2 linked regions of the Cricetulus griseus genome follow. The protein of the gene in region 1 purifies or fractionates together with the protein of each later gene. This does not show direct contact. Links are inferred from orthologs where the notes say so. Each region holds a gene or a part of one and is shown on either strand. Other genes may lie near its edges.

Region 1 (5,812 bases):
TAAAACAAACAAACAAAAAATAGAAAATTGGGCAAGTGTCTCTTCAAGAGTAAGTAGAATTTCCCTTATTTTAACAGGATTGAAAATTTGCTGATTAAATTTGAACTTCAGTTAAACAGTCAGTTGTATGCTCCCCCAAAATGCATGCTCTATGCTTTATTTGCTAAATCTATCCTGAGCATTAATGCCATTATTTCTTAGTGTCCTCAGTATTGTGATCAAAATCATTTTACTAAATTGAATGCATGAAAAATGCAAATTCAAATTAGAATTAACAAAAAGTGAAATCAAATCCATCGTGTATAGACAGACTATGCTGATAAGCAAGCCTTTCATGTTTCATAAGGACTGTGAATGATGTCCATAAGCCCCGATTCCCAGGAAGCACATCTCATTCATTCACATAGCAGTATAGTACTCGGAACTTTGTTGTAACCAGTCTTTGTGGGGCTTCAGTCAGATCCAGCTGACTTGCCTGGTTTGTACCTGAGAGGGGGAGTGTGGATTGAGAAATGGCAGGTAAAGATACTCAGGAAGAGAAAGACACAGAAGAGGGTCAGAAGGGCAATCCAGTGAATACTGGATACAAGGAAGAAATAGACTTTCTTCCTTCATTCTCCAAACATTTGGTAACCATGACTTAGACTAAATTTCTTGTTATCTTGAGGGTCCAGAGTAACCACAGCCTCAGAGCAAGTTGCTTTTTATTTAGATAAGATGTCCATGACCAATACCAAACATCCTACAGTAGCCACACCTTAGACCTTTAGGTCCAAAGACTTTAACCTTGGAAGAGTAAGGATTCAGTTTTGAACTCTGACCTTAAGCCAAGATGAAGCAGAACCATCTCTCTCGGCCCTGACAGGACTTTGAGTTTCTAGAACACTTAGGGAATAGAACTCAACTATTTTAAATGATACCCAGTCTTTTTCAATCATAGATGAAAATTTCAAGACCCTTTAGTACGTTCACCTGGGGCTGATGGTGTGCTTGCATGAGGCTTCTATAAGCATTTCAACGGATCTGATGGATGGACAGGGATGGATAAAATTCCTGCTTTCTTGGGGAAGACTATGAGGTAGACAGAATGCCAGTGCTAATGGTGATTAGATGTTAGGGTAAGGGATGTATGTTCAAGAGCTGGAAGAGCTTGTGTAGGAGTCAGGAGGACTTCAGCACTGTCCTGGCAAGCTCCTCTCTCCAGCACTGTCCCAGGTTCAGCCTCTCTCCAGCCCAGAGGACTTATTCACTGTCAAGGGGCCCAGGGGAAATCAATCATCCGCCCCCGCCCCGCTCCAGCCCCTCCCCCACCCCCACCCCCGCCCTAATGCTCCTGTACTCTTCAGTGGCACCGGTGTTTCCTGGGTGAGCTAGAAAGGTAAGCCAAGTGGATTCTGGTCCTGAGTGGCCTTGTAACCAGATCCAGATCTGTGAAAAGCAGGGCATGTGACTAAGGTGATGCAATTTCAAATGGACGTCACAGGTGACTCATCAGAGGTTTGCTTTGGGGCCTACTGATATTTTTCTTCTGGGCGGGGTGTCTTATTTCCTCTGCATTTTTTGGATAACAGCCCTGGTGACCATTTCCAACTTTTCAGAGTTTCAAAGCCGTCATGTAGAGCGCTTTTTCATACGGGGAATCTAGTCACGGGAAGGGAGTTTGGGGAATGAAAAAATTGATTTTTAAAACGGAGAGAGGCCTTAGCCAGGGAAATGTGAGCTACAAGAGCTTTTCCTACCTCACGCCTCAGAGTGACAGCGCTCCTCAGCCAGAGGACTACATTTCCCGGCGGGCGCTGCTTATCTCACAGGCACAAGCTGGCGGGTTCAGGGCTCTCCACCTCCTCCCAGCTAGCCAATAGGAACGCCCGGCTTGAGCCTCTGCCCGACAAGGAGCACGCGGGAACCGCGACACTAAAACTACATTTCCCGATGCGCAAGTGCTCGAATACTGACCAATCAGCGCTATGCATTTCGAGGCCGGGGGAGGAGCCGGCCTGGTCAGCCACCCCCATTGGCTAGGCGACGCTTAGTAGAGCCGGAACCCGGGAGCGAGCGAAGCGCAATGACATTTCCTCTTTAAATAACCGGAGCCGGGGCCCCTTGGAGAAATGGCCGCGTCGGCAGGTGGGTGGCGTGGTGCGGCCGCCACGGTGCTGGAGGAGGGGAGCAGGAGCGCGGTTGCCGGCCCCGACCTGAGAGGCGGCCGTAAGGCGGGAGGGAAGGATGGAGAGGCGGCGGGCGCGGGGGCGAAGATGAATGGGGAGGAGGGCGGTGGGCGGCGCGCCCGCAGAGACGCGGCGTCTGGGTACCGGCCGCCCGCGAGGCGGTTGAGGGGCGCCCTGGCGTTCGCCCTCGGTCGCGCTGCCCTCGGGAGGCTCTAGCTCCGCGCTCGGCCCCGAGCCGAGTCGCCGCCGCCGCCGCCGGTTCGGCTAGCTCGCCTCACACCCTCCCTCCCTCCACGAGCGCGGCGGTCCGGGCTCGCCGGGCTCCCAAGGAGCGCACCGGCCTGGGAACTTGTTCGCCCTCGCTGGGCTCTCGTCTCCCAGAGCCTACATGGGCGGTCCTGTGCCTAGACACAGGATTTTGTGTAAAGGGTGAGGGCTGAAAACCCACGGACGCCTTAACTGGCTTCGAACTTCTTGTGTCTGTGCGATTTTTTCCTCCTAGATTTAAGTAAGTCTTCCCCAACAACGAATGGAATTCCATCTTCAGACACAGCCAACGAAGCCATGGACCCCTTCCATGCTTGCAGTATTCTTAAGCAACTCAAAACAATGTACGATGAAGGACAGTTGACAGACATTGTAGTGGAAGTGGATCACGGGAAAACATTTTCCTGCCATAGGAACGTTCTTGCTGCAATCAGCCCCTATTTCAGGTATGACGACGGTAGAAAGTTGTATTACTACCCTTCCCAGTATTGCCCACTTGGTTGTGACACTGAGCTGGGACAAATAAATAAAGGCAAACAATGCGTTTGTTTTCTCAGAGTAGGTTAACAGGCCTTGTCTTATTAATGAGCCCTTGATTTGAACTGTGGGGTTTTAGAATTCAGATAGATGGATTTTAAGTTAGTGAACCTCTGTGATGTGTTCCCCAATATGGAAGACGCCTGCCGCACGTGAACATTATAATGCTTTAAAATTAAAACATTCAGTAACTCAGCTACACTAATACATGTCAAGGGCACAGGCAGCTACATGTGGCTGCTATATTGGGCAGCGTAGATATACAGTGTTTCAATCATTGAAAGTTTTATTAGAGAATAATCAATTATTTTTAAAAATTCATTTTTTAGCATGTATAACATTTTTTTTAGTTTAAAACATAGGAACTTGTTCCTTTACCAGTAAATTAGGACTTAGGAGATTGTTTTAATGCCATGGAGTTTTGTAAAAAGTAGTGGAATAAATGAAATGAAAGTGTGTGTTTATGTCTTCGTTTCCAAGATTCCCAAGAGTATTACTTTTTTCACTTTCTATTTATTTTTATCATAAAATACTGAAAAGTGAACACTGTAAGCGTGGGTCTGAAAACTAAGTTCTTATTCTAAGATCAGGTGAATCTTAGAATCAGGTGATGGGAAAAGGTACTTTCTGTCAGTGCATAAATGTTTTGTTTCAAGTATTGCTTCTAAAAGCCCTTCGGTATTCAGCAGTGGCTCATGAAAGACAGGAAAAGCATCTTGTCAGCCTCACTCCTGCTTTATCTTTTGAGGTGCTTATAGGGCACATCCCACTATAATGTTGGGTTCATTAGTTTCTTGTTCCTCTTTCTCAGGATGCTGAACAAAAGAAGTATGGTTACCATAGGTTTTAGTGTCTAGGAAGTTAAAAAAAAAATGCTTGGAAATATTTCTGAACATACCATTCACATAAAGATGTTGCTAGAAAACTAAAAACCTAAATTCTTTTCTGCACACAAGTTTCTTGGCTCCTGATATGGGAATCTCAGAAATCATACTTAACCGTTAGCCTTGCATCTCAGGTGAAAGAATTAGAACAGCTGGAAATGTGACATGGCTGCTTCCTGATCCAGTGATTTGTCAAAATTAATGATTATGGAAAATGCTCTACTTGGGATTTTGTGGGAGGAAGCACTCCCAATGTATTTAGAGTACATGAAGACCCTTTTAGGGAACTCACCAAGGTGTCAGGCCAGTTCTCTGCATTAGCCTAGTCTGTTGAAGGCAAGAGGGGCTCCCATGAAGATGGGATATGTGAAGTTATTCTTCTACCTAATGAAGGGCTGGACTTAATTGGTAGCTATATAGGTGAATCACTTATCACCTGAACTGAAACCAGCTCAAATATAGAAACATCTGATTTGTAGTTAGTCATCAAAGCCTGTGGTAATATTAAACTTAAAACTTTATTGAAGTGAAAAGATAAGTAATCAGTATACCAAGTTGAGCCCTTGTACACCCTCCAGGTTTCTTATACTCCATTTTAAAATCTCATGTATTGAAAGCTGGAGAGATGACTCAATGGTTAAGAGCACTAATTGCTCTTACAGAGGATCCACATTTAGTTAGCAACACCCATATCAAGGCACTCACCACCACCTGTAGCTTCAGCCCTCTTGTAAACTTTGTAGACATCTGCACTCCCATGTGTACAACCCTGCATATACATACACATAAGCAAAAGAATGAAATCTTAAATGAAGCCCTATCTATTTGATAGAGACAGCAAAGGTGTCTGCCCATTATCCCACTTGGGACACTTTCACAAAATATAAGTTACTTTTATCCCGGATACCATACCGATTTTTTCAACAAATTCTATTAAGCACCCCACATGCTTTTCAAAAAGAATGAAAGCACACACATTGGGCTTTTGGAGGATTTTTTTTTTCCCCCTAGAATGGTTGGTTGTGGAAGTGCACGCCTTTAATTCCAGCACTTGGTGAGTCAGAGAGGATCGCTGAGTTCAAGGCCAGCTTAGTCTACAAAGTGAGTTCCAGAACAACCAGGGCTATGTAAAAAGAACCTTGTCTCAACAACAACAACAGAATGAAACCTTACAGAAAAGAAATGATGTTTACAAATGAGTCACACTTAGAAGTACAAGTATTTTTTTATCTGCTTACTGTTTTGGAAAAGAATGTTTCATAAATACACTCAGTTAAAAAAAAAACAAAAACTAGACTATGTGTTAAATATTAAATTCTATTTAGAAAAAGGCACTCTGTTAACCCTATCATAATTTTTTGTATGGCTATAAATAGGTAAAATACAGGAACTTTAAAATGAAATGTATTTATTTTAAGGAATAGTTTTCAAAGTGTCCAAGAATAAGTAAAGTAGTCTTTAAAAAGATTCCAGTTTTAAAAGTCATAGGTGAAACACAAGTACTTTTGAAGAATGCTGTTCTCTTCCTGAGATGAAAATTTGCTTTGTGCATACAAGTTCCTTGTAATTTTCACTGGACCATCAATTATTTTATTTGGCTTATTGTGCTTAGGGCTAATTTTGCTATCCTGATGATATCTTGAACTTTTTCTGGGACATGACAGTTTTTAAGGTTCATTATCTGTAAGGCAATTTGACTAGAAAGAAGCTTGATATGTGCTCCAAGGACAATCAGATCTGAAATATGTCACTATGGTTTGCTTTCTTACCAATATTCTCCTTTTTCCATACTTAGCATGTAAGACCAGAATCCTGCCCCTCTCCCTTTCCCAGGTCTTATGTGGACTCTGGTGAGACTGAGAAACCCAGTTAGCCCAAGATCTGATTAAAAAGAGATGCCCATAAGAGTCTTATTAATTTTATGTGCACAGAGGGATTTTTACAAGAAAGTGAAGT
Region 2 (5,804 bases), on another chromosome or scaffold:
GCCCTCAGTCATGCTACTGCCTATTCATGTCTTGTCCCTTGTCCCCAACTTCCCCTTAAGAATCAGAACAGTCAGTGCTGTAGTAGAGGGTGTGTGTGTGTGTGTGTGTGTGTGTGTGTGTGTGTGTGTGTGTGTGTGTGTGTGTATTTGTGCAGCTTCCTGTAGACAGGCAGCATCAACTTCCTGTTTCTCCCTACCCAGATGTCCACCACGGCTGATCTCAGCTTGGGAGCCTAGGGGGCCCACCTGCCTTAACAGTAGCTCCCTGAAGTTCACTCCAGGAGAAGACAGCCCTGAGTGGCCCCAAATAGGAGACCACACTTGTTTGCCAAATATACACTAAATCTGAACTATCAGTGGTACAGTTAAAACGTATCAGGGACAAGGTATATATGAAAACATTCTATTTTCCATTGGATTTTACTGTGAACCTAAAACTGCTCTAAAACAAAAACATTTTTAAAAATAGTAGGAGTGTTGTTGGACAGATGGTTCAGCAGTTAAGTGCTCACACTGCTCTTCCAAAGGACCTGAGTTCAGGTCCTAGTAGCAGTGCCTGTAACTTCAGTTCCAGGTGGATCTGATGATGGCTCTGGCTTCTTCGGGTATATGTACATACCCCCCAATATACATCATTAAAAACAATAAAATCAATAAAAGTAGTAGTAACAGCAGTGGGTGAAGTTTGGTAGAATGTACAAGCTCCGAACCTCGTAAGTAACAACAACAGCAGCTACACAATCCATCCAAGTCTCAACTAATGTCATTCCATGTTACAGGTACTACCTGTTTTGTTTTGCTTCATAGTGTTCTGTGCTAGGTCTCATGTAACACAAGGTGGCTTTGCATTCAATGCACAGCAAAGGCTGGCCTTGAACTCCTGCCCCTCTTGCTTCCTCCTTGCTAGTTCTAGAATTGTGGCGTGCACCTTCACATCTGGCACAGCATGATGCAGATGCCTCAGATACATAGACAGAAATCAAACTATCTGCAAAATGAAGAAACTGAGGCCCAGCAAGGCTTTCTGCCACGTGCCTTTGATCCCTATACCCAGCAAGAGGGGCAGGAGGATGTCTGAGTTCCAAGACAACTGGTCTACACAGTGAGACCCTAACCAAAAAAAAGAAGAAAGGAAGAAACTACCTAAGGCCCCCTTGCCCTAAGATCCCACAGCCAGCAAGAGATAGGGCCAAGCTTCCTAACACTAACTGGGAGGGATCCATGTGCACCACACCTTACCACTGTGAGCAAAGTTCTCCTAGGCTCTTAAGCCCTCCTGGAGAGTAGATAAGATTGCAGGTCAAGAGCACAGATCTATGATCCTATCATCTCCTCTCTATATATCATCCCCCCCATGGTGACTACTATTCTGAATAGTAGTCACCATGGGGGGAAACTGGGACTCAAAAAGGCCGTAACAGTGGCTCTCAGTGAAGATGGGGTTGTTTTTTCATCATCTCTAGAAATACATGTCAATGTCTGGGGTCATTCTTGGTTGTCATTACAACCAAGGTACACAAGAGACACCTGTCAAGTGGAGGCCAGTGCTGCTGCTCAGCACCCTGAGGCACACTGGACAGCCCCCGCCACAAAACGATCCAGACCCAAATACCAGTGCTGGGGCCTTGGGAAGAGGCATGGGCTCCCGGATTGGACTACCAAGCACCATGTTCACAGGTAAAGACGTCACAGAGGCCCTTAGAGCACTGGCTGAGACTCCACCTCTCTTCTCATAACCATTCATAACCCCATTCCCTCCTCCAAAACAGGAACAAGACTCAGAAAAGTAATGGCTTTCACCCAGGAGTTCATCAGGGAAGACAGCACTGGATTTAAGCCCAGCCTCACCAAACAACACTCTGGCATGACTGGGCCCCACCCACGGTCCCTCACCATCACCCTCCCCCCACCATCAGGCAAAGCAGGTACACAGCCAGGAGCAGGGCCAGTTCAAATGGGGAGCATACAGGCAAAGAGGAAAAGTGAAGGCTCTCAGCCCCACCTCCAGTAGAGGAGGCCTGAGAATGTGTAACGCATGCAAGGAAGGCCTCCTGGGTCCTCCTCCCCTGGGTGATTCACTTGCCCAGGGCCAAGGAGTCACTTAAGGGCAGCAGGGCAAATGCTTGGCCTGGTCTTGAAGAATTAGAACATCAGCTTCTCCACCTGCCATCACAGACCTGGAGACACCAAACCAAGAACTCTCATCTTGGGAAACCTTCTTGGCAAAGTAGCTAGGGATCCAGAACCCCACATCCTGAGATTTCAATGCCTGGGGCGTTCCCAGAATCTAGACAGGACATCCGTTTGCCAGACACAGAACAGACAGGCATGGAGGTAGTGAGGCAGGGCAGCAAGTCCAAGCAGGAATGAACTTAAGGGAGAAGACAGAGAGGAGACGAGATGTTGGTCCAGACTCATTCTGGGAATCACAGCCTCCATATGTGCCCTGTGTGGGACACCCCAAGCACATGCACGCTCTGGGAAAGCCCTCCACAGCCCTCTGTGGGCTTGAAGGGGAGCCAGCACCCAGTGCATCACGCCTCTCCGGAGGTCTGACCTTGTGAGATCGGCAGCACCAGATACGCCCAGCTCCTCGGCAAGGCCGGCAGGCCATCAGCAGGACTGGGGAAGAGGGGTACAGGAGGGTGCAGGGGAGACACGGGGCAGGTGCAGAAGATGAAAACCAGTTACATAGGACAATGGACTTCATGGTGAAGAACTAATGGAGTCACAAAGATACCAAGATCTCAGATTTGGGTCATTAAATTAGAGAGTGGAAAGTGATCCTGACCCTGCTTCCTCTTGGGAAGGTGAGTTCAGAAATGCCCAACAGGTAACACAGGGAAGGCCATGGGCTGGCAGATGCCAGTCACAGGTGTCTGTTGCAAGGATGCGGTTACCCAGTCCTGTCGCCTTCCAGACATAAAATCCTTCCTGCCTTTGTGACAGGACACGCCCCACCTGAGATATGGCTCCATCTGTCAGGCTGAAGGGTGACTAAGGGCGGGGGCGGGGGGGACCGGCCTCTGGCCTAATGAAGTGACTTAGGCACTTCCTCCAACAGGTGCCCATCTGGTGGCGTCAAAATCATCGTAAAGACGTCTGCGGGCGGGGGTGGCCCGGCTTTGTTGTGCGGGGGAGGGGCACGGGCCGCGCGGCAGGGCGCCAGGCACCTGCTCCAGGTAAAGCGGCACCTGCCAGAAACGGAACGCTGAGGTCCTGGGCGAGCAGGGCGTGGGGACGGAACCCGCAGCTGGCCTGGGACACCCAAGCGGCGTCCCCGTTGCGCCCGCTGACTCTCGCGGAGGGCCGGAGGAGGAGGTGCGGTGGCAGGATCGCGAACAGCACCTCTTCCTCCGAGCACCTCGACGCCCCGACCTGCTACAAGGGCCCGCGCGAACTCCCTAAGGGGACCTCGTCCCGGGCTCTCCCGGTGCCTGGGGTCCTCGTGCCGTCCGGCCGCCCCGCGGGTGCGGACCAGTCTCCTACCTGCACGGCGTCGCCGGCCATGTCCTCCGGCCGCCCGCCCGCCAGGGGTCCCAGCGCCGAGGGAGGGCTTGCGAGCGCGCGAGCGGGCGCGGCGGGAGGCGCGGCGCCCAGACCCTCCCTGGCGCGCGGCGCGCTCCGGCCTGCTTCGCTTGGCCCGGCCTGGCCAGGCCTCCGCCGAGCTGCGCCCTCCGGCCCGCGGCGCAGGACGGGTCACGTGAGCGCCGCTGTCCGCGCCCGGGGAGGAGGCGGGGCGGGGCGGATGGGGGCGGGGCTCCCGGCGGCCCCCGGGGCTTGCAGTCGGGAATGGGGGTCTCCTTTGCTGTGCGTGCGGCTCGCCCTGCGCTCCTTGTAGCGTGCTGGAACTCTCGAGAGGCCTAAGCCGTCGCGAGCTTCAGAGAGGCCTTGTCCCCGCCTCGGATCCCTCAGAAAGCAAAAGTCACGATCCATCTCCCCGCTGCCCAGCAGCACAGGCTCATCCTCCCATTTTCCCGGAGGCAAGCACTGTGAGAACAGGATTTCAAATCCCAGGTCCCCGGCCTTTGGAGACCACCTTACCCCTCAAGGCAAGGATGTCCGTAAAACTTAATGAGAAACAGTAGGCCAAGTGCAGAGACCTCAAGTTTATAAAAAGAAAAAAATGACAGCAGCTGTCACTGTTAGTGTTTTGAAGACTATTTTGATTTATGTATGTTAGAAATACGTTCGAAGTGGCCAAGAAAGAGACCACCATTCTAACTGAAATGTCTGAACAAGGCAAAATTTGCTCTTGATCAAGACAGTGCTGGGGAAAACCAAACAAGGAGACAGGAAGTACATTTGGTTTTTATTCTAACTCAGGTGACCTCACAATCTTATTCAATTGGCTAGTTTGGAAAAAAAATGGTACAGAAGGAGTGGAGGAGAAAGGGGGATGGGGTCACTTCTCCAAGCCAGCAAATTCCTAGAATGGAGCGGGGGGGGGGGCCGCGGGGGGGCAATGTATAAACAAAAGTTTTACTGGGTAGGGAAGATTAAAATATCTCCATAAAGTCTTACAAGGTAGGGGAGATAATGATTGTAATTACTGTCCAAAACATAAGTTTTATAATATTTGCTAGAAATGACTCTTATGCACTTATGTACAGGGCCTCGAGACCAGAAGAGGACATGGGATTCCCTAGAATGAAGTTATAAATGGGACTGTGAGCCATCCCACCTGGGTGCTCTGCTCCGGGCCTGACTTGTGTGTTTGTGCGTGCATGCACAAGCCAGGGCAAATGTGTGGTGGTCAATGGACAACTTGCAGGGTCAGTTCTCTTCTTCCACCCTATCGTTTTTTGGGGGGGGCCAAACTCAGGTCATCAGGCTTGGCCTTAAGTGCCTTTAACTGCTGAGCTATCTCACCAGACATGCAGTTCCTTTGCCACTATTGATAAAGGAATTTGAACCTCAGCATGGCCTCTGATGCACTGAGCCTTGTGGATCCCTGGGGGCTCTAGTTTTTGCCCTCTGTGAAGTTTTGCTGGCTTTTTCCTGGATGCAGCATTCATACGGTACTCCCATACTGTCCAAATGGACCATAGAGGCCTCTGCAGAATTTCTCTTGGGGGACCACAGTAATGCAGGTGGAGTTTATACTGTGGTAGCTGTGAGGACCTCTCACTCAGAAACCCAGTGAGAGATTCAAACTTTGGTCCTCAGGGCTCCGGGTAATACCTACAGTGGGTGCCCTCCAGGAATCAGTGCTGGCACAGGGGAACAAGAGTATATCTATGTGTCTCTGTCCTCCCAGGGACCTCTCTCTCTCTCTCTCTCTCTCTCTCTCTCTCTCTCTCTCTCTCTCTCTCTCTCTCTGGGATTTTAACCGAGAGGAGGAAAATTGAAACAATAGGGAAGCCACTCCCTTAGCATCTTGCCCAAGCCCTCAACAAGCCCAGTACACCATCACTGATCTTTCTGGACCAGAGTAGAACCCTTCTTGTCTCCCAGCCTCCTCCTAAAGTCTCTTCTCCAAGCACAGCCCAAGGGGGCCTATGAACACCTAAAGCCTAGACATTTCTAGGAGGAACCCACCAGGCCCTGTGTGATGATGCCCTTGCCTTCTCCATGTCTCTCCTCACCCCTTCAGCAAGTTAACATCCTAATTATACCTCAAATGTGTGCTGAGTGAATTAAATAGCTTGCCAAACTAATCATCTGGCTTCCTTTTTGCAGATTGATAAAAGAGAGGAACCCCTTGCCTTCATAATCAAGACATGATGTTCATGGCCCCTGCATAGTGGGCAAGGAACCCGCCCATTTCACAGTTGAGGAGGGCATGGGATTGGCAGGGGAAA

Evidence for each region. Proteins that work in one complex are often made in the same cells at the same time.
Region 2: the proteins of Kbtbd8 (region 1) and Pkn1 purify together in Homo sapiens (affinity purification with western blotting; 3 studies listed by BioGRID and IntAct, with this or other methods). This does not show direct contact. The link is inferred for Cricetulus griseus from reciprocal best matches to the Homo sapiens genes KBTBD8 and PKN1.

The regions. Positions count from the first base shown.
Region 1 is NC_048601.1:48,704,274-48,710,085, reverse strand, and holds the start of Kbtbd8 (kelch repeat and BTB domain-containing protein 8), read left to right. Parts: upstream 1-2,028; 5' UTR 2,029-2,111; coding exon 2,112-2,127; intron 2,128-2,670; coding exon 2,671-2,881; intron 2,882-5,812. UniProt on the Homo sapiens protein: Substrate-specific adapter of a BCR (BTB-CUL3-RBX1) E3 ubiquitin ligase complex that acts as a regulator of neural crest specification.
Region 2 is NC_048596.1:160,715,881-160,721,684, reverse strand, and holds the start of Pkn1 (serine/threonine-protein kinase N1), read right to left. Parts: upstream 3,687-5,804; 5' UTR 3,511-3,686; coding exon 3,490-3,510; intron 1-3,489. UniProt on the Homo sapiens protein: PKC-related serine/threonine-protein kinase involved in various processes such as regulation of the intermediate filaments of the actin cytoskeleton, cell migration, tumor cell invasion and transcription regulation.